Rattus norvegicus: one gene and its partners. The protein of the gene in region 3 interacts with the protein of the main gene of each other region in a pairwise test. Links are inferred from orthologs where the notes say so. Each region holds a gene or a part of one and is shown on either strand. Other genes may lie near its edges.

Region 1 (3,581 bases), on a different chromosome or scaffold from region 3:
GTATTCATATACATGAAATAAACAAAATCTTAAAAAAAAAAGAAGAAGAAACAAAGAAAAGGAAGACAGCAAGAGAGTTGAAAAGAGCTCCATTTTATTACGGAAAGTTACAAAAAACGAAACAAACCAGGCAGCTGACCAAGGAGCAATGGGGAGAAGCGAGGCGCCTCCTGAGCGCCCCCCACACTGCAATTCAATTCAATGTGAACCACGTGGAGGAACAGAATTAAATAATTTTCATGGGGTTCAGGATTAGGATCCCCAGCCTGCCCTCTTGGGGGAAACCGAGGCACAGTAATACTGAGCAAAGCTGAAGAAGGTTACACACCTTCCCAAGTCACTCACAATGAAACAAAGGGAAGGTGGAGGATCCCACAGGGGCTCCGCGGGTAGGCATGGCTTGTAAACCTGGGACTCTGCAGGTGGGATTGGGAGCTAGTGGGTATGTAAACCAGGCTGTGATCAAGAGGGAAGCTGTAAACAAAGGGGTAGTGACCTAGAAAAGGGGGTGTTCGTGGATGGAGCGGGATCCCCGGAGAGTGGCTGAGCTTTAAGGAAGGCTGTGAGGCTGGAGGTGCTCCATCTCAATTCCAGATAAATTCTGAATTCCAACCCAGGACTTGATGCTCACTCTTAGCTCACCGAGGATGCTCCGCCCACCGGGAACTTTGGGTTAGGGGTCAATTTAGGCTACCGGCTCCGCCCCAGGAACAGGATGGGAAAAGCAAGTCCGAATTCGCTCGCTTGTCGCCCTTCCCTGCCAGGCGGGCTCACTGCCATGTCTGTCGGCTCTGAATCATCCAAGCTCCAGAATCTTCAGGTGCGAGAAGGAGAGAGGTATATGCCCAAACTCGAAGATGGTCACCGCCGGCAGGACTCATCTGCAGGAAAAGAGGTAATCAATCCAGAGAAGCGGAGAGGGCCTCCGCCTCCCCACGCATCCCCAGAACCGAAGAGTGGCTGGTATAAGAGAAGTCTTTGTAACATGTTGGCTGTGGAACAGTGGTCATCATCACGGTTAACTGGATTCTGTGCTGAGCATCTTGTTTAATTTCACAATCGTCTCAGCAAAGGTGAAGTAATTTAATACCTAGCTATGTATACCTAGGTGCTTTACAAAAATCTACTCAAGTCTTCAAACAACTTCAAGAAGTACTTGCTTGGGGTTGGGGATTTAGCTCAGTGGTAGAGCGCTTGCCTAGGAAGCGCAAGGCCCTGGGTTCGGTCCCCAGCTCCGAAAAAAAGAACCAAAAAAAAAAAAAAAAAAAAAAAAAAAAGTACTTGCTATTATCAATTAAGGCGGGGTACACAACCTTTTTGTTTGTTCGTTTCAGATGGGGTCTCGATCTGTAATAGTCCAGGGTGCCCTGGAACTCACTGTGTAGACTAGGCGGATCTACCCCCGCTTTAGTGATAGGATTACAGGCATGAGTCACTTTTCTCAGCTCAAGGCAGCAATCTTATCGCTGAGCTACACACCCGGAGGCCCAGCACACAACTGTTAACTTTATTTTAAAGGATGATAAATGAAAACTGGGGATACCGATCGGCGGCAGAGCACCCGCCTAGCATGCTCTGGGATCTGGGAGTGCAGGCGCGCACGCCACACATAAGGTAAACGGAAACCGAGCTCGGATTGATTCAGGATCACAACTAAGTAACAGACGAGCTGGAATTCTGACTCCATGCCGCCTGACCCAACACGGGTATTTTTAACCAGATTAGAGATCTGGATAACGAGCGAGCTCTGGTTTTGAAATCTGGAGACTCCAAGTGTGCTGGCTTTCAGGAATCAGCAGATGTAGCAAATTGGACCAAGCTCCTTCAAAGTACCACAAAGCCATGAACACCAGGGGGCGCCCTACGCCAACCACGCCGCAGCCGCTTACCCACGATTAGGGCCTTGGTGCACAGCCCGCCCTGGAGCCCGGGCTGCAGAAGCAACTCCTCCTCTTCCTCCTCCTCGTCATCGTCAGGCTGCGTTGCTAAGGGGGCAGTGGGGGCCTCAGGCTCCGGGCCTAGATCCTCCAGTACCGAGCTCTCGGAAGGGTATTGGTATGTGGTCTCCAGTGCTGTCTCACTAAAGGAGATCTTGAGCTGAGAGTAGGAAGAGAGGGGAGAGGAGGCAAGTTCATCACTAGGGGATCCAGGGAGGGCTGAGAGACCAGAGGCAAGTGGAGCGGGGCTGGGCTTAGGTGCCCCGCAGACCTTCCCTTCCATCCATTTGGGGTTCGGCTTTCCTTTACATCTTGATTATTCCGTCTAATGGCATCATTCAAAACAACACTTAGAGGCTGGGAAGATGACTCAGTGGTTAAGAGCACTCGCTGCTCTTGCAGAGGACCTGTGTTCAGTTCCCAGCACTCACAACCATCTGTAACTGTAGTTCCGGGACCTCTGCAGGCTCCAGGCATACTTGCAGTGTACACGTACACAGGCTTGCAAAACACTGGCTGGGCTGTGAGAGCGATTGTAGCCAGGCCTCTCTGGAACCTTTGACCTTCACAGTGTGTTATGTCAGGTGTCTCTCTGCACCCCAGGTGTGGTGCCTCGAGGCAGCGATTTCAGCGTTCAAGAGGGCTGGAGAGATGGCTCAGCGGTTAAGAGCAGTGACTGCTCTTCCAGAGGTCCTGAGTTCAAATCCCAGCAACCACATAGTGGCTCACAACCATCTGTAATGGGATCTGATGTCCTCTTCTGGTGTGTCTGAAGACAGCAACAGTGTACTTATATAGAGTAAATAAATAAACTTGAAAAAAAATAATTTTTGAGAGAGAGAGAGAGAGAGAGAGAGAGAGAAGATGAGGCAGGAGGATTACACCAAATTCCAGGCTAGCCTTCCATGCAGATCAAACTCTGTCTAAAAAAAGAAAGGGGTGGGCTGGAGAGATGGCTCAGCGGTTAAGAGCACCCGATTACTCTTCCAGAGGTCCTGAGTTCAATTCCCAGCAACCACATGGTGGCTCACAACCATCTGTAAAGAGATCTGATGCCCTCTTCTGGTATCTGAAGACAGCTACAGTGTGTACTTATATATAATAAATGAATAAATCTTAAAAAAACAAAACAAAAAAAAAGAAAGGGGTGAGGAGTTGGAGAGATGGCTCAGTGGTTAAGAGCACTGGCTGCTCTTTCCAGAGGACCTGGGTTCAATTCTCAGCACCCACATGGCGACTCACAACTGTCTACAACGCCAGTTCCAGAGGCTCAGACACCCTCACCCAGGCAAAAACAGCAATGCACATGAAATACAAGAGAGTAAAAGCTGACATTCAGATGGAATCAGGTGACCAGTCTGGGGCTAGCCTGATCTACATAGAGACCTTGACTTTAAAAATAAGCACACACACACACACACACACACACACACACACCCCAAAAAAGAGACTTTGCCATGGCAACGAGGTAAGTAAGGCAGAATTCGGGTCTCTATCTTTCACTGCTGTGAGGCAGAGGTATTTAAAAACAAACAATCATGAAGTCAGATGGGCACTCCTGACTCAGGATTGGATGACAACGGAAAGGTTTAGACGAGCCAAGGGATGCCCAGCATACAGAAGAGTCCCTAAACATGCAACTGC
Region 2 (3,581 bases), on a different chromosome or scaffold from region 3:
AAACCTGGAAGAAGAGAAGAAAGGTCAATCCAGGGAGCAAAGGCCCTCCAGCAAGACAGATGGAGGAACAGGCCAAGTGTCTATCCTCAAGAAGTCCGGGCCTGGAGCCAACAGGACCTCTTTCCCTGGACAGCAGGTGCGATATGACGAGTCACTGCTCCAGGCCCAGGGGTAGGGGGTCTGCAAGGTACAAGGGGTGAAAGTCACTAACAATCGATTTCTGTTAGCCCCTTCCTCAGCATACAAACAGGTTTCCTTTAGCCATCGACCATTGCTCTTTTGGAGATTCTGTGGTGTCTTTATTTAACTTCTTTTGAGGGATGGGGGGAGTCCTACACCTGCCTATTGGAAGAATGGAAATAATTGTGCAATTTCAAGCCAAAACTAACTGGTATAAGTTTTTTTTTTCTGAGATAGGGCCTTGCTATATAATCCAAGATGGCTTCAAATTCATTATCCTTCCTGAGAACTGGGTTTACAGGTGTATCATAATCAGATTCTATGCAGCGCTCCTTTTGTTCTCTCAATGCTGAAGGCCTTATGCATGGTAGGTGAGCATTCGGCCACTGGGCCACATCCCCAGTTCTATAACCCAACATGCATCACATGGATGTACACACATGCAAACACACTAACACACACAGACACATGCACACACATACACATATGCACACACAGACACATACATACACACACAGACACATGCACACATACACTCATACATACATACACATACACACACTCGCATCCACACATATGCATATACAGACACATGCACACACATACACATGCACACACAGACACAGGCATGCACACATACACACATACATACATGCACACACATACGCGCACACACTTACATTCACACACATGCACAACACACGCACACCCTCTTAACTCTCCAATAACGCTTCACACCCACTCTTCTCTTTCTCTTGTGACACTTCAGTCCTAACAACTTCACCCAACTGAAGCCTCATCTGATCAGCCTTCTCTGGCAACTCAGGCCACCTCTGCTCTCTTGGGTCTGCATGGTTAATATTGCATAAATGTACAGAAAGTCCATTAGCATGGCCTAGGAGGAGCAGTGTTCACAATAGCAGACTCTGTTATCCCACTATATTGTCAGCACACTGAGGAGAGGAATGGGTCCATGTAACACTGGCTACTGCCACACATACCAAGAATAGGTACTTCATATAGCAGGGGTGTGTGTGTGGGTGTGTGTGTGTGTGTGTGTGTGTGTGTGTGTGTGCACGCCCATGAATTTATATGTGAAATCGAAAGGTTCACTCCAGGTATCATTCCCTGTTTTTTGATACTGAGTGGATCTAGATGCCTGGCTCCACCTTTTTGGCAATGGAATCACAAGCACTCACCACCACCCTGGCTTTTTAAACAAAACAAAACATACCATGGGTTCTGAGCTTCATGGTTACAAGCCAAGCACTTCACTGACTATACTGTCTCTGGCCCCTTCATGAGGCTGCCACACAACTGCCCAGAACAACCAGCCAGGAACATAACTGCAAAAGAACCAGCTGCCTGCTTACAGGGTAACAAGGCCTGGGTGAGGGGGGCAGGCTATGAAGGATAGAACAGAAAACAGTGAAATAACTTCCTGCCTACAGTTATCAGGTCAGCCCATGATGGAATCCCATAAACACTCTTTGGGTTTTTAGTGCTGAATTATCAATATAGACGTTTTTATTTTATAGAAGAAAAGATAAAAAGAGCAGACTAACCTATGAGCACCACCATCCCATCCCCCAAACAAGTTCCCTACTCTGTCTTCTTCAGTGGGAAAGCTCAAAGGTCCTGTGGCTCTAAGGAGAGGCAGGCAGGCCCTCTAGGACCTCTGAGGCCTAGAAAAGGCCAGATCTGACTACTGTCAAGTCTCTGACCACTTCTCCCTCTTAATCAGCATATAGCTTCATTCAGAGAATGAAGCAAGACTGACTCCTTGTCTGACCAAGAAGAGACATTCTCTCTGTCCAGGACAAGAAAGAACCAGTGGGGTTTCTAGGTGGGAAATACTGCTCAAACTGCCATGACAGGTTACCATGGGCAGAATAGCTTGTGCCCAGAAAGGTATTTCTCACTATTTGTAAAGCCCAAGCCCAAACTCGAGGCTCCAGGGTGTCTGGAATCTGATGAGGACACCCGTCCTGTGTGCAGATGGTCATACATTGTGTCCACTCATGGGGGAGAGAGCAGGCAGAGAGACAAGCTCCTGCATGGCTCTTCTGGTAGAGCATTAACCTCATTCATCAGGGCCCCACACTCAGACATAAGTATTTCTCAAAGGCTCCATTTCCCAACACTGTTAGAATCTCAACATGTGAGTTTCAGGAAAACCGCTCAGTGCACACAGATGCGATTACTATTTTTTTTCCAATGCTGAGAATGGAGCCAAGGGTCTTGTACGTGCCTGGCAAGTCCCCATCACTGAACTACATCCCCAGCCCCTGGTCCCTCTTTCTGCAGTTGTCTGGAAAACTTGAGGCCCTTCAGAATAGCATTCAGCATCCTTCATCCTTCATTTGCTTTCCAGGAAACAGGGATATGCTCCGAGGTTTTCCCAGCCTTGTGTCATCCCCCCTCAGGCATCCAGAGAGATCTGGATGACCACCATGTTTCCCATGGAAGAGCCTTTCCACCACAGGACTCTGACACCATGAAGCCACACAGACACCACCAGGGTGAGAGCACAGCCAACCTGCAATGGCAGTCCAGCTCCCCCATCCCTCCCCTGGATGCTGAATCATCCTCTCATCTCTCAGGTACTCAGACAAAGGCAGAAGAGGCATGGCCAACAAGAAAGAATGATGCCAGTCAGCAAACCAAGTGAGTTCCTTCTATGTTCCTGACCCCAAAGTTTCACATCTCATCTACTCCTCCAAGTGTTTACTTGGAACACCTCTCCTGGACACCGAGCCCACCCCGAATGAGGAGGGAAAAGTCCTTCCCACACCACTATACTTCAGCAGAGGTGCCAGATGCAGCTGACATCCTGCCTGCTCACAGGTTTCATCCTTTGACCCACTGTCGTATTTTCCTTCTCTTCCCAGCTGTGGAGTTGCCGTCCTAGACAAGGTAAGAGAACCTTCATTTGGAGGGGTCTGGCTCAGACAGCACCTAAGCTCTACCAGTCTGGGATTCTGCGATAAACTCAGGCTGGGGTGAAGGGACACCTTCTTCCAGGATGACTAGATGGTCCTCAGCATAGATGTGGGGCCAGAAGGATCCAAGGCAAAAGAGATCTGCTATATGTGAGCCCACCAGTACTCTGATTCTACACCAAAGTCCTCCTGAATTATCTCTTTCATCTCTCTCACTAGGACATCATTCAACTCTCTGAATACCTCAAAGTAAGTATCATGGTGACCACACAAACACACACACACACACGCACACACACACACACGAGAGAGAAAGAGAGAGAGAGAGAGAGAGAGAGAGAGAGAGAGAGAGAGAGAACTCTCCACCTACTCTTCCTCCAAGTTAATCTTTCCTTTTGCATTCCTCCTCTAGGAAGCCTTACAAAGGGAGCTGATCCTAAAACAAAAAATGGTGATTCT
Region 3 (3,067 bases):
CTGGAGGGTATGTTGAGTCCCCAGCCTTTTGCAGTCAGGCCCCAGCCCAGTCCCATTTTGGGCTCCAGTGTTTGCCGCCCTGAAAATGTGTTAGTAGCAGTCCTACGCAGGGGGCGTAAGTCCCATCTTCCCTCCATCCTGATGACGTAGGAGGAGGTCACATTGATCAGAGCCCTGAGCCAGCCAAATCTCAGCTCTGCCCAGACAAGTCCAATTAGAGGTTGTGTAGGGGCCTCATTAGCTGTGGCAGCAGGAGTCTGGAGGAGGGGGGCACCACAGGAAGCTGAAGGCGCTGGGACTAGACATCCAGCACTTTCCATTCTTACTCAAAGCCTGAGTAAGGCCTTATGATACACCATCATCAGTCACAGAGCTGGACTCCCAGGACCCATGAGGCTCACACCATTCCCTTTATGGGTGCCCAAGACTGGGTCTTAAGCTTTTTCTAGGGCTGGGAAGCCTCAAGGCCCCCATCAGTATTTTCCCAGCACCTCTTGCTCCTGTGAATCCAGTCTGATCCTTGGGGTACCTCCCAGAGCCCCTGACCTCCCTAGGGTCCATGTGCCCATCCCTTGTTGGAATTGCCAGGGTCAGGATGTACTGAGGGCAGGCCCAGGGTTCTGAGGCAGTCATAGACTAGATGGAGGAGGGGGATGTGACTCCTGCGGGGTGCCACCATCCTTATCTTCTGACAGCCAGAACTACATCACTGTGACAGAGGAAGGACTGTTAACTTGCTCCTTACCTCAAGCATGGAGTTCTGCTTCCTTCTAGAGCATGCACTGGCTCTCTCTGGAAGTCTGTCTGCAGAACATCAAGATTTGGTCTCCTGGACTCTAGGCTTCTGACCCAGTTCCAGCAAGGTACCCCCTACCTGAGGTCTAGACTGGTGTAGATGGCCCCCAAGGGTACAAGCTTCTAAACTTTCTGTGGGCTCCCTCTCAGCACCCACAGAAAGCCAGATATGCCATAGGTACGAACTCCTCAGAAGTAGAGATCAGTGTTCCCAGGATGTCCCCATCTACCAGCCTGAGTCAAGAGGGGGCTCAGTATCTTCTTCCCTCTTCCCTCTCGGGGTGGGTCTCTGGATGTCCCTGCTCATTGTTATTTTGCTCTGAGAGTCTTGTAGCCCAGGCTGGCATGAACTCGCTAGGTTACAGAGGATGAGGATGACCTTGAGTTCCTGCCTTCCTGTTTCTACTTCCTGGGATTTGGGGTACAGCTGTGGGGCTGCCTTGCACCCTTCTTTTCTTTTCGATAGGATCTAACTCTGTAGCTTAGGGTGGCCTCAAACTCATGGCAGGCCTCCTGCTTCAGCATTCCCAGTTCTAGAGTTGCAGTGTGAGTCACCACTGTCCATTCCTAGTGATTGGTGACCTCCAGGCTTGTGCACCTGGCTACTTCTGGAGGCCCTGGATGTCCTACAAGATGCCACCTCACCTATAAACTTAATATCTTCCCTCACCTCCCTTCTTGGCACTGCCCTTCTGCCCTGTCCCTACCCTGCCCACCCTTACTCGAAGTCAGAGACAAACCCTTTGCCGAGTCACCTCCTCATTCAGTCACCTGAGCATCCTGAGACCACTGTGTGGTATGTTCCCAAGGGTCTCGGGTCCTAAGACAAGGTCACTTTCCGTCTATTGTCCCCCACCTGGAGCAGACATCCCTTGCCATCCCAGGCCAGCTGCTACCTAAACTTGCTGGCCCACTTGGGGTTCACGTGCCTTGGGTGACTCACCTATGTACAGGGACAGCTCAGGAGTACACAGGGCTTCTGCTCAGTGGTGGGGTACTTGCCTAGCATAGTGTAGACCTTGGGTAGAAAGACCCCCATTGTTTTCTGAAACAGAGCCACTGTGCAGCTTAGATTCATTTTAGTGCTAAGCCTGTCTTTCTTTTTGCTTTCATTTTTATTATTATTTTTTTAAAGACAGGGTTTCTCTGTATTCCTGGCTGTCCTGGAACTCACTCTGTAGACCAGGCTGGTCTCAGAGATCTGCCTGCCTCTGCCTCCCCCGTGCTAGGATTAAGGGCATGGCCACCATCACCATGCAGTTTCTAAAAAGGCCCTTCGTGTCTTTCACAATATGTTCAATCATAGATGAGCACATCGTGACAGGTGTTTCTATGGGGCAGCTTGAGTTTGCCTGTCCCTTGAGGGCAGGTGTGTGTTCTGTTGGCTGGGGCTGGACGCCCAGCCTGCATCAGGCTCTCTGTAAGCTCAATGAGTAGACGGCACAGGAAAGGGGCAGAGGGTGGTGGGGCCCCTGGACTCCTGTGGCTTAGCCTCTCTGTGTACCTGTCGCCTAGCAGGGTCCTCAGAGGGAGACTCGGCCTCCTCCTGTGGTTCAGCCTCTTCCCACTGCCACAGTCCACACAGAGGACTGGAGAGGCCAGTACTGGCTGCATCCTGCCCCTGGAAGCAGAAGCTGCATGTGATCCTGGGAGGGCCGGAGAAGAGTGGGAGCCCAGGCGGGATGGAGGTGTGGGGCACAGGTGTGGGCTGGGACAAGAGGATGGCTCGGTGGAAGGTATGCAACAGGTACGGAGGGAATGGGTGAGGGGACCAGATTGGTGAGCGATGATGGTCAGGAGCATGGCCTCCAAGTTCTCCTGGCCAGAGTGAAGGTCTGCTGGGGACACGTGGAGAGCTTCCGTGGAAGCAGGGCCTACCTGCCGGAGAGCCTGGATCTCCAAGTCCAGTGATGGGGGCAGGGCCATGATCCAGCCTACTCTTCCTGCCTCAGCCCCTTCCAGCAGCCTAGCCGCATACAGGGGAGGGAGGCTTATCTTCTGTCTTCACCCTGTGGCCCAGCCCTCTCCTGCCCCTGTCATGCCCGACCATGTGCTTGAGCCTCCCCTCCACAGTGAGCCATTGCTCACTCAGCCCCATTCCCGCCTGAGCATCCACTCACTCCTCTGGGCCTTCCTGGCTCTGACTCAGTTGCTCCTCCAGGTTTGAAATTTCTTGCCTTAGCTCCTACAAGAAGCAGAGCATGGGCCCTCGTGGAACCCACATACTCCTCTCTCCAGACACATACTGCCAATGACCAGGGTGAAGTAGCAG
Region 4 (3,581 bases), on a different chromosome or scaffold from region 3:
TTAAGATGACTTTGAAAATAACACCATATATCAAAAACCAATTTTGAGTACAACCTGAATACAACCTTCCAAAGACTGATATTAAATACCAATTACATGTGACAATGTGGCTTCTACTGAATGCTTAACAAGTGTGTAGTATGTTCATTGCCATGGAAATCAATGACACATACTTTTAAAATCATTTGTATAATTCCTTTAACAGAAGTTTCCTCAGTACTGCCGAGAAGGAACTACACTGAATTCACAAATGATCTTTGTTTTATAGAGAAGAGTTGATGCCGGGTGTAGTCCTAAGATAAAGCATGAGGGGCAGATCCAGCACTGGCAATCTTCCTGAAGGGAGGGAGGGAGGGAGGGAGGGAGGAAGGAAGGGAGGGAGGGAGGGAGGAAGGAAGGAAGAAGGGAGGGAGGGAGGGAGGGAGGGAGGAAGGGAGGGAGGGAGGAAGGAAGGGAGGGAGGGAGGAAGGAAGGGAGGAAGGGAGGGAGGAAGGGAGGGAGGAAGGGAGGAAGGGAGGGAGGAAGGGAGGAAGGAAGGGAGGGAGGGAGGGAGGGAGGAAGGAAGGAAGGAAGAAGGAAGGAAGGAAGGAAGGAAGGGAGGGAGGAAGGGAGGGAGGAAGGGAGGAAGGAAGAGAGGAAGGAAGGAAGGAAGAAGGAAGGAAGGAAGGAAGGGAGGGAGGAAGGAAGGAAGGGAGGGAGGAAGAAGGAAGGAAGGAAGGAAGGAAGGAAGAAGGAAGGAAGGAAGGGAGGGAGGAAGGAAGGAAGGAAAGAAGGAAGGAAGGAAGGAAGGAAGGTGACAATACCAAAGGCAGTTTGAGCCTTTACAAACATGGAAAAGGGCATAGCGGTATGCAGCGTACAAAGGACACTTCTCGTTTGTCTCGCTGTAAATCCAGGAGAAGCTGGGGAGAAGCTCTGACGGGCGGGCCATTCTCTGAAGAACATAGAGAACAATCAGTCTACAAGAGTTTTATAACAGGAGGATCCAAAGACTTCTGAGAGGGCAGGAGGCACTTTAACCAAATTCTACCAATAGCCATGACAACATTATGAAGACCAGCAGGAGCTGAGACAGGCCCAGGAGTTCTCCCACGGGTCTGAACATAAATGTCAGGGCCATGCTAGGGAAGCATGGGAGGGGCCAAGATTCAAATGAGGCTCAAAGATGGAAGTGAGAAAGACGTCAGTTTTATATTTTAAGCCACTAGCAGACAAGCCGGAAGGGCTATTTCACTGGATCCCCCAATGCTCTGACAAGTGAAATTATTGGAAAATAAATTAAAAATGTCTTGTCCTTCTAACAGTGACATTTTCTTCCTCCCTTCCTTACAATATTCAACCTACTTGTTAACATTCTCTGGTTCTCTTATTCTAGCACATTTTATTTTCTCTTTTATATATTTACTTGTATATTCCTTACATTTCACAACTTACTAGTACCACAGGACCAAGTCAAATACACACATATGCATTTAATATTTCCCAATCAAAATATGACATTTCTTTGATTATAAGTCTAGACTGGTTAAATAATTTTTCTTTATTACAGTAACAAATGAGGGAAAAGAACAAGTTAGAATTGTCTATAGCCTAAAATTATACAGAAAGTATGCCTGGAACTGTTGGAACTACTGCATATAATGGATTTATTTAGATCTTGCTAGGTATGGTTTGAGGAACAAAATTAAGCAAAAGTACCACATCTTTTAACTTGCCACATCTTCTAACTTATTCAATGAATGGTCTGAACTTTTGGTGCACTTTGAGCTCAGTGTACCATTTTGAAATGAATCCCTTCTTGTGATGACAATAAGTTCAAAACTAGGAGTTAAAATGGCACTGGCTCTGTACTTACAGATTTTATAGCTGTTACTTTGCTTCTGAGACTTTCAGTGAGTCTGTCATTCTCTTCTTCACAAGCATTATATCCACTATTGGCATAACCATAGTTCCCATAGCCGCCAGGAGGTGCTCCATCACCTACAAGGTTCAGAGGCACAATGTAGGACTGCAAAAACAGAAGCTACTTTTCAAACCCTAGTAGCTAAAAAATGCTGAAAAAGACCCCCGGACAGCATTGCAGACCACATGTATCTATTATAGCACACTGCAAATCAACTAGTAAAACTCAGAACCAGATATTACAATTCTTTTCACATCCTCTTTTAAGTTGAATATGCATTTTCTTCAACACATATTTATTGACCATGTATTGATTACTTAAAAAAATACTAAAAGAGGCACAGATATACAAGGATATTTGGAAGACATTTGTTGCACACTAGAAATGTTTTAATAAAGGACATAAACATAGCACCATCTACCCATCAGAGAAACTTGGTTATAAGAAGAAAGGGTAAAAGATAATGTGGAGGGAGGGTTCTCATGGCAGAAAGATGGTAGACTTTTCCTAGCACCTTTTACCTATAATACGCAAAGGGTGTAAACCAAAGAACAAAGTGAAGAGAGGGCCATAGGTGAAACCCTGAGGAAGAGACACAATGGCTTGTAGAGACCATTAGCTGAGAGTCTCAAGAAGTTCACTCATCTTCCAACCACTATTTGAGAAGCTACCATATGTGTATCTATTTTCGAGATGATGTGGAAGCCGGAAGAGTCGATTACTGTCTACTATAGTACTTGGCAATCACTGGGAAACAACGGACACAGTACACATTAGGCAACAAATCCATACAGAAATGTTTTGGACTGAGGGCACCTCACCAAGTCTTAATAAATTGATGCCATCATTTTCTCTGTAAAGGAAGAAAGCAGGCTACCTAGTAAAGAAGAATGATCCTTTAGAATAAACAATGAAGAGAAACCATGAAAGAACTGTGACCCAAATCATTCAGTATCACTTGGAGAATAAACATGGCCATGGAAGTATACTGAATTAGCTTCTGTCCTCCTAGATATGAGACTCTCAACAGAACGGCTCCTTGGTCTCCGTCAGCCATTGAGAAGCCACACTGTTGGATGGTTGGATGGTTCTAAAACTGGAAGGTTTAATCAATATTGGGACTGCAGAAGAACGAAGAGTGTAGTATGTATTAAAGGGACTAGATTGTCCATGGTTGGAAGCATATTCTTTAGTGACATAGGAAGCCAGAAGAAAGAGATACCCTTAAAGCTATAGGTGACCATGGGCTCAAACAGAAATGCAGTAGCACTGATACTAAGAACAATCATAGTAACAGTGGACAGAGTAGGTAGCAATAATCTAGTAGCTGAAGGACAGTTAGTTATGTGTGCATGAATAAGAAACTCTTTCAAAGCATAGCACAATTTAATTTTATTGAAGTAGCAAAACTCTTGAATCCTTATAACTCTGACTATATAACATCAACACTGACCTCTACATTGAACTGTAAGAGCATTAACTAGATTTATTCATTGATCATTCTAGATCGCCATAAACACACAGGCACCCCCCCACACACACACAACAGTACTTATGTAAATACTTATAAATGAACTAAAAAGGACAATTTTCCTTTGCGGTTAACCAACTTTGTCTCATGCTTCTCTATGCTCTTGCATATAATGAGCACTCTCTATGTGTCAGATGCCTATATTTC
Region 5 (3,831 bases), on a different chromosome or scaffold from region 3:
CAAGCCTTAAACGAGAACCTTAACTGTGCGTTCAGTTCCCGGCACTAGAGAAGCTGGCGAACACCTCCCTCCCCCTGCGGACATCTCTGCAGCAGGGAGTGGCAGTTTGATTAACATTCTTTTCAGAAATAAATAGTCCAAACAAATTATTTATAGCTAATTATAAAAGAGCAGTGGGAAAGGGCACTGCCCAGTGTTTGCAAATGAGTGAGTGAATATGTGTGAACACACAGAGAACAATTCATATAACAAATCCTGCATTTCCCACATTCATATGGAAATAACGCCTTAAAACAAAACATTAATTAGTATGTGTCCTTGTATGGGGCGAACAGTCCAGGGCTCTGAGCAGGCACAGCCTTACAAACAGGGCTGCAAGCAGCCCCTCCACACCTCTCGTCAGGGCCACTGTAGAGAGGCCTCCATGCACTCTGGAGAGCTCAGTACCTGTGAGAGAAGAGAAATGATGGGGACTTTTCAACCCACAATGCATGAGGTATATGGAAACATCCATGAAAGAACCACCAGCAACTAGAAGACCAGGCGGGGCATTGTCACAGCAACTGCTGGTGAAGGATTTCCCACACCATCTTCTTCCGGAAGAGAGGCATCTGGTGCTGAAAAGAACCACAGCGGTGTTAGACACTTCAGTGTACAGCATGGCAGCCTTAGGTGTCAAACAGAGTGATGCACATGTCCTCTCCATGAGCCTCCCCATCTGAATCACGTACACGTGTCTAAAGCACAGTGGGGTTGATTTCTAGTCAAGGAGGCCTTCCTGAATTCCTACTTCTTGACCATCCTCTCCAGGGCTGGGATTACAGTCATGTGTCACCACGTTTGACAAAGGTTTTGTTTTTGTTTGTTTTGTTGTTTGAGGAGGGAGGGTCTTGCTAACAGCTTAAGCTGTCTGTGCTCACAAGCTTCTAGTTCCCCAGCCTCCACAGTGCTGGGATGACGAGTGCCACATACCTAGTCTATGCGCATACATTAGGGCATTAATTACCCTACATGTGCATGTGCACTCACATGCTAAGAAAACCAAAGCAGATGCAGAATCATATACCACAGGACAAGAGTAAAAACAGGCACCAAACTAGAAATGTCCACACAGTGGCACAACAGAAAACTTTTCTACATTCTAAATGAACATCATTTAAAAAATCAATTTGTTTTTATATTAAAAAAAGTAACCTTAGAGCAGGAAGGTATGGTTCAGTGGTAGAGGTCTTGCCAAAGTATTTATGAGGTCCTGTTTTCAATTTAAATGACTTTTATTTAAAAGGTGAAAAACAAACATCTACAATTTTATTTCTGTTCTACCACAATCAATTATGTTCCAAAAGCTGCTTATCCCCATGAAATCTCATGTCACATACAGAAAAACCAACGCCTTGCTACTTATATTAGTCACACCTATAATCCCAACACTTTAGAAAGCAGTTAAGATATAAAGATCATGAGTCTGAGGCTAGTCTTGCTCCACAGTGTCCCTGTATCAATAAATAAAACCAGAGACTAGGGTTGGGAGGGGAGAGTCTCTGTGCTCTCAGGGAGAATCGATGGCAGGTTCTCAGAGCAATGAAACATGAAGCTCCCAAAACCACCTGTGACTCAGACACCCAACCCCATGCTTGGGAAAATTTGAGTTCCAGCTGGGCGGTAGGGGTCCGCACCCTTCACCCCAGCACTGGGAAGGCAGAGGCAGGCAGATCTCTTAGTCTGAGGACAGCCTTGGCTATGCAGAGAAACCTTGTCTCAAAAAAAAAATCAAAACTGCAGTTCCCGTCTGCCTGGGTCCTGAGGCACTGCTATAAGTAGGCGGGTCTATCGAGCTCCACATTATAAACTGCCGAGTCTATGGAGGTGTGTATAGCAAAAGTCTTAATTGAAATAAAAATCACAGGGTTCTTTTTTGCCTCCCTAGTGCTGGGATTAGAGGCATGCACCACCATGCCCAGTAAAACAGCTGAGGTTAACCAGTAGTGAGTGCTTTCTTTGAGACTGGGAAGATAGGATTCAGCAGGGGAGTCCAGTTTACTTCATGTCCCCAAAAGCATTTAGTTCTACTATTCAATAACTACTTTGTTTGGCAGCCAGGAGCTATCAAATAAAGATCTAGGAATGAGAAATAATTTTAATTGGCGTTAACTCTGGCTATACAAAGGGAGACTGGGTCCACTATCACACAGAAATGTAAGGTCTCTGATGTACCTGTGTCCTCCCAAGCACACCACCTTGCAGGAAGGAAAGACCACTCACTCCTGCTTCCACCTTAGACTCTGGGGCGAGCCTCACAGGCCCAGCTCCCCTGCTGTCAGCTATTCTCACACGCCTCTCTCCAGCTAAAGTAACAGTTACACACATGAACCAATCAAAAATGGAATTCAAGGACAAGCAAGTTATCCCACTGGTCATTAGAGAGCAGGACAAGCCTGAGAATACATGCTACAACAGAGCACACAGGACGCTGCTTCTGAGAAGAGTGGGCCTCACCCAAGGCTCTTAGCAATTGTACCGTTCATTTGAAGAGCCTCAAGTGTGCCAGGCACTGCCAAAGCAGAACACAAGAAGCAGCCCAGACTCACCTGAGTGAATGTGATAGGTTTGTCCCTAGAAATATAATCTGCGTATTTACAAGTAAACATTCCACAATCACTCCCATTCAACTGTTGAGGAATCTCCTAAAACCAAATAAACAGAAAAGAAGAGGAGGTAAACTATCATTTCAGATGTTCTTTAGTCTCTTTGTAAACAGACAGTGGGAAGCAGCACAATAAAGGTCAATAAGTCTGCTGTTGCACAAACACGGATGAACACACAAGCACAACCCCTCTTATTCTTTGTGGTGTAAAACACTGGCCACGGTGCAGTGTATGAGACCCCACAGAAACACTTCATAGAAGAAAGAAGGGAGAGATGTACTGAAAAGCAAAACAAAACCCACCCCACATGGTGAGGGCTGAGAAAAGAAGACCCACATTTTGTTTATCAGAGATGGCTCAGCGGTTAAGAGCACTGACTGCTCTTCCAGAGGTCCTGAGTTCAATTCCCAGCAACCACATGGCTGACAACCATCTGTAATGGGATCTGACACCCTCTGCTGGTGTGTCTGAAGACAATAATGACTGTGTACAGTGTACTTACATAAAACAAATCTTTTCAAAAAAGAGAGAGAATACTAGTGACTGTGTGTGACTTTAACAGTGGGTGCAAGGCTATCTCTGACTCTGTTCCCTGCCTTTGGACCCATTCCCACTACTGGGCTGCCTTGTCTAGCCTTAGGAGGAGGAGATAGTCTCACTGCAACCTGATATGCCAAGGCTCGTTGATATCCATGGGAGGCACCCCTTTTTCTAAAGAGAAGGGAGAAAGGGTGGATGGAGTATCGGGGGAGGTAGGAGGGAAGGACTGGAGGAGAGAGAAGGGAGGGGAAACTACCGTCTGATGTAAAATAACTAATTCATTAAAAAACACCATGGACATTTCAAAAGTATTATCAACTTTAAAAGGGGGCTAAGAAAGGGTCAATTAGGTAGCTATGAAGTACAAGAATCTACGTCACTACTGCAGAGGTCACATACTCTTAACCACCAGGACAAATGCCCGCTGCCAAGGACCCCTACAGTTTCAAGTGAGATGAGTTCTGTCCCTGAGGCAGAAACACAATTGGGAACAGGCAGCTCTCAGAACATCACAAGGGAAACCCATATGGCGTAAGTGGTGTGCTCAGGACAGCACCCCAGTCTTGGCTGTTCACATAAGGGGTATAGCAGAACAAGAATGCGGGAGGGAAGGCTTACTCCATCGCTGAGTCTCATACTGGGTGAC

Evidence for each region. The genes of interacting proteins can lie anywhere in the genome.
Region 1: the proteins of Kash5 (region 3) and Ppp1r18 interact in binary tests that used the Homo sapiens proteins (3 or more experiments, as listed by UniProt). The two-hybrid records come from large-scale screens. The link is inferred for Rattus norvegicus from reciprocal best matches to the Homo sapiens genes KASH5 and PPP1R18.
Region 2: the proteins of Kash5 (region 3) and Traf3ip3 interact in binary tests that used the Homo sapiens proteins (3 or more experiments, as listed by UniProt). The two-hybrid records come from large-scale screens. The link is inferred for Rattus norvegicus from reciprocal best matches to the Homo sapiens genes KASH5 and TRAF3IP3.
Region 4: the proteins of Kash5 (region 3) and Bet1 interact in binary tests that used the Homo sapiens proteins (3 or more experiments, as listed by UniProt). The two-hybrid records come from large-scale screens. The link is inferred for Rattus norvegicus from reciprocal best matches to the Homo sapiens genes KASH5 and BET1.
Region 5: the proteins of Kash5 (region 3) and Senp2 interact in binary tests that used the Homo sapiens proteins (3 or more experiments, as listed by UniProt). The two-hybrid records come from large-scale screens. The link is inferred for Rattus norvegicus from reciprocal best matches to the Homo sapiens genes KASH5 and SENP2.

Annotation. Positions count from the first base shown.
Region 1 is NC_086038.1:2,882,297-2,885,877, forward strand, and holds the end of Ppp1r18 (phostensin), read right to left. Parts: intron 2,098-3,581; coding exon 1,890-2,097; intron 882-1,889; coding exon 862-881; 3' UTR 74-861; downstream 1-73.
Region 2 is NC_086031.1:107,241,623-107,245,203, reverse strand, and holds part of Traf3ip3 (TRAF3-interacting JNK-activating modulator), read left to right. Parts: coding exon 1-136; intron 137-2,554; coding exon 2,555-2,702; intron 2,703-2,783; coding exon 2,784-2,847; intron 2,848-3,071; coding exon 3,072-3,096; intron 3,097-3,341; coding exon 3,342-3,371; intron 3,372-3,534; coding exon 3,535-3,581. UniProt on the Homo sapiens protein: Adapter protein that plays essential roles in both innate and adaptive immunity. Plays a crucial role in the regulation of thymocyte development.
Region 3 is NC_086019.1:104,807,691-104,810,757, forward strand, and holds part of Kash5 (protein KASH5), read right to left. Parts: intron 2,981-3,067; coding exon 2,916-2,980; intron 2,762-2,915; coding exon 2,674-2,761; intron 2,417-2,673; coding exon 2,300-2,416; intron 1,814-2,299; exon of another isoform or gene 1,739-1,813; intron 805-1,738; coding exon 746-804; intron 1-745. UniProt on the Homo sapiens protein: As a component of the LINC (LInker of Nucleoskeleton and Cytoskeleton) complex, involved in the connection between the nuclear lamina and the cytoskeleton.
Region 4 is NC_086022.1:33,074,630-33,078,210, forward strand, and holds part of Bet1 (BET1 homolog), read right to left. Parts: intron 1,981-3,581; coding exon 1,856-1,980; intron 1-1,855. UniProt on the Homo sapiens protein: Required for vesicular transport from the ER to the Golgi complex. Functions as a SNARE involved in the docking process of ER-derived vesicles with the cis-Golgi membrane.
Region 5 is NC_086029.1:92,487,858-92,491,688, forward strand, and holds the end of Senp2 (sentrin-specific protease 2), read right to left. Parts: intron 2,685-3,831; coding exon 2,589-2,684; intron 618-2,588; coding exon 555-617; 3' UTR 534-554; downstream 1-533. UniProt on the Homo sapiens protein: Protease that catalyzes two essential functions in the SUMO pathway.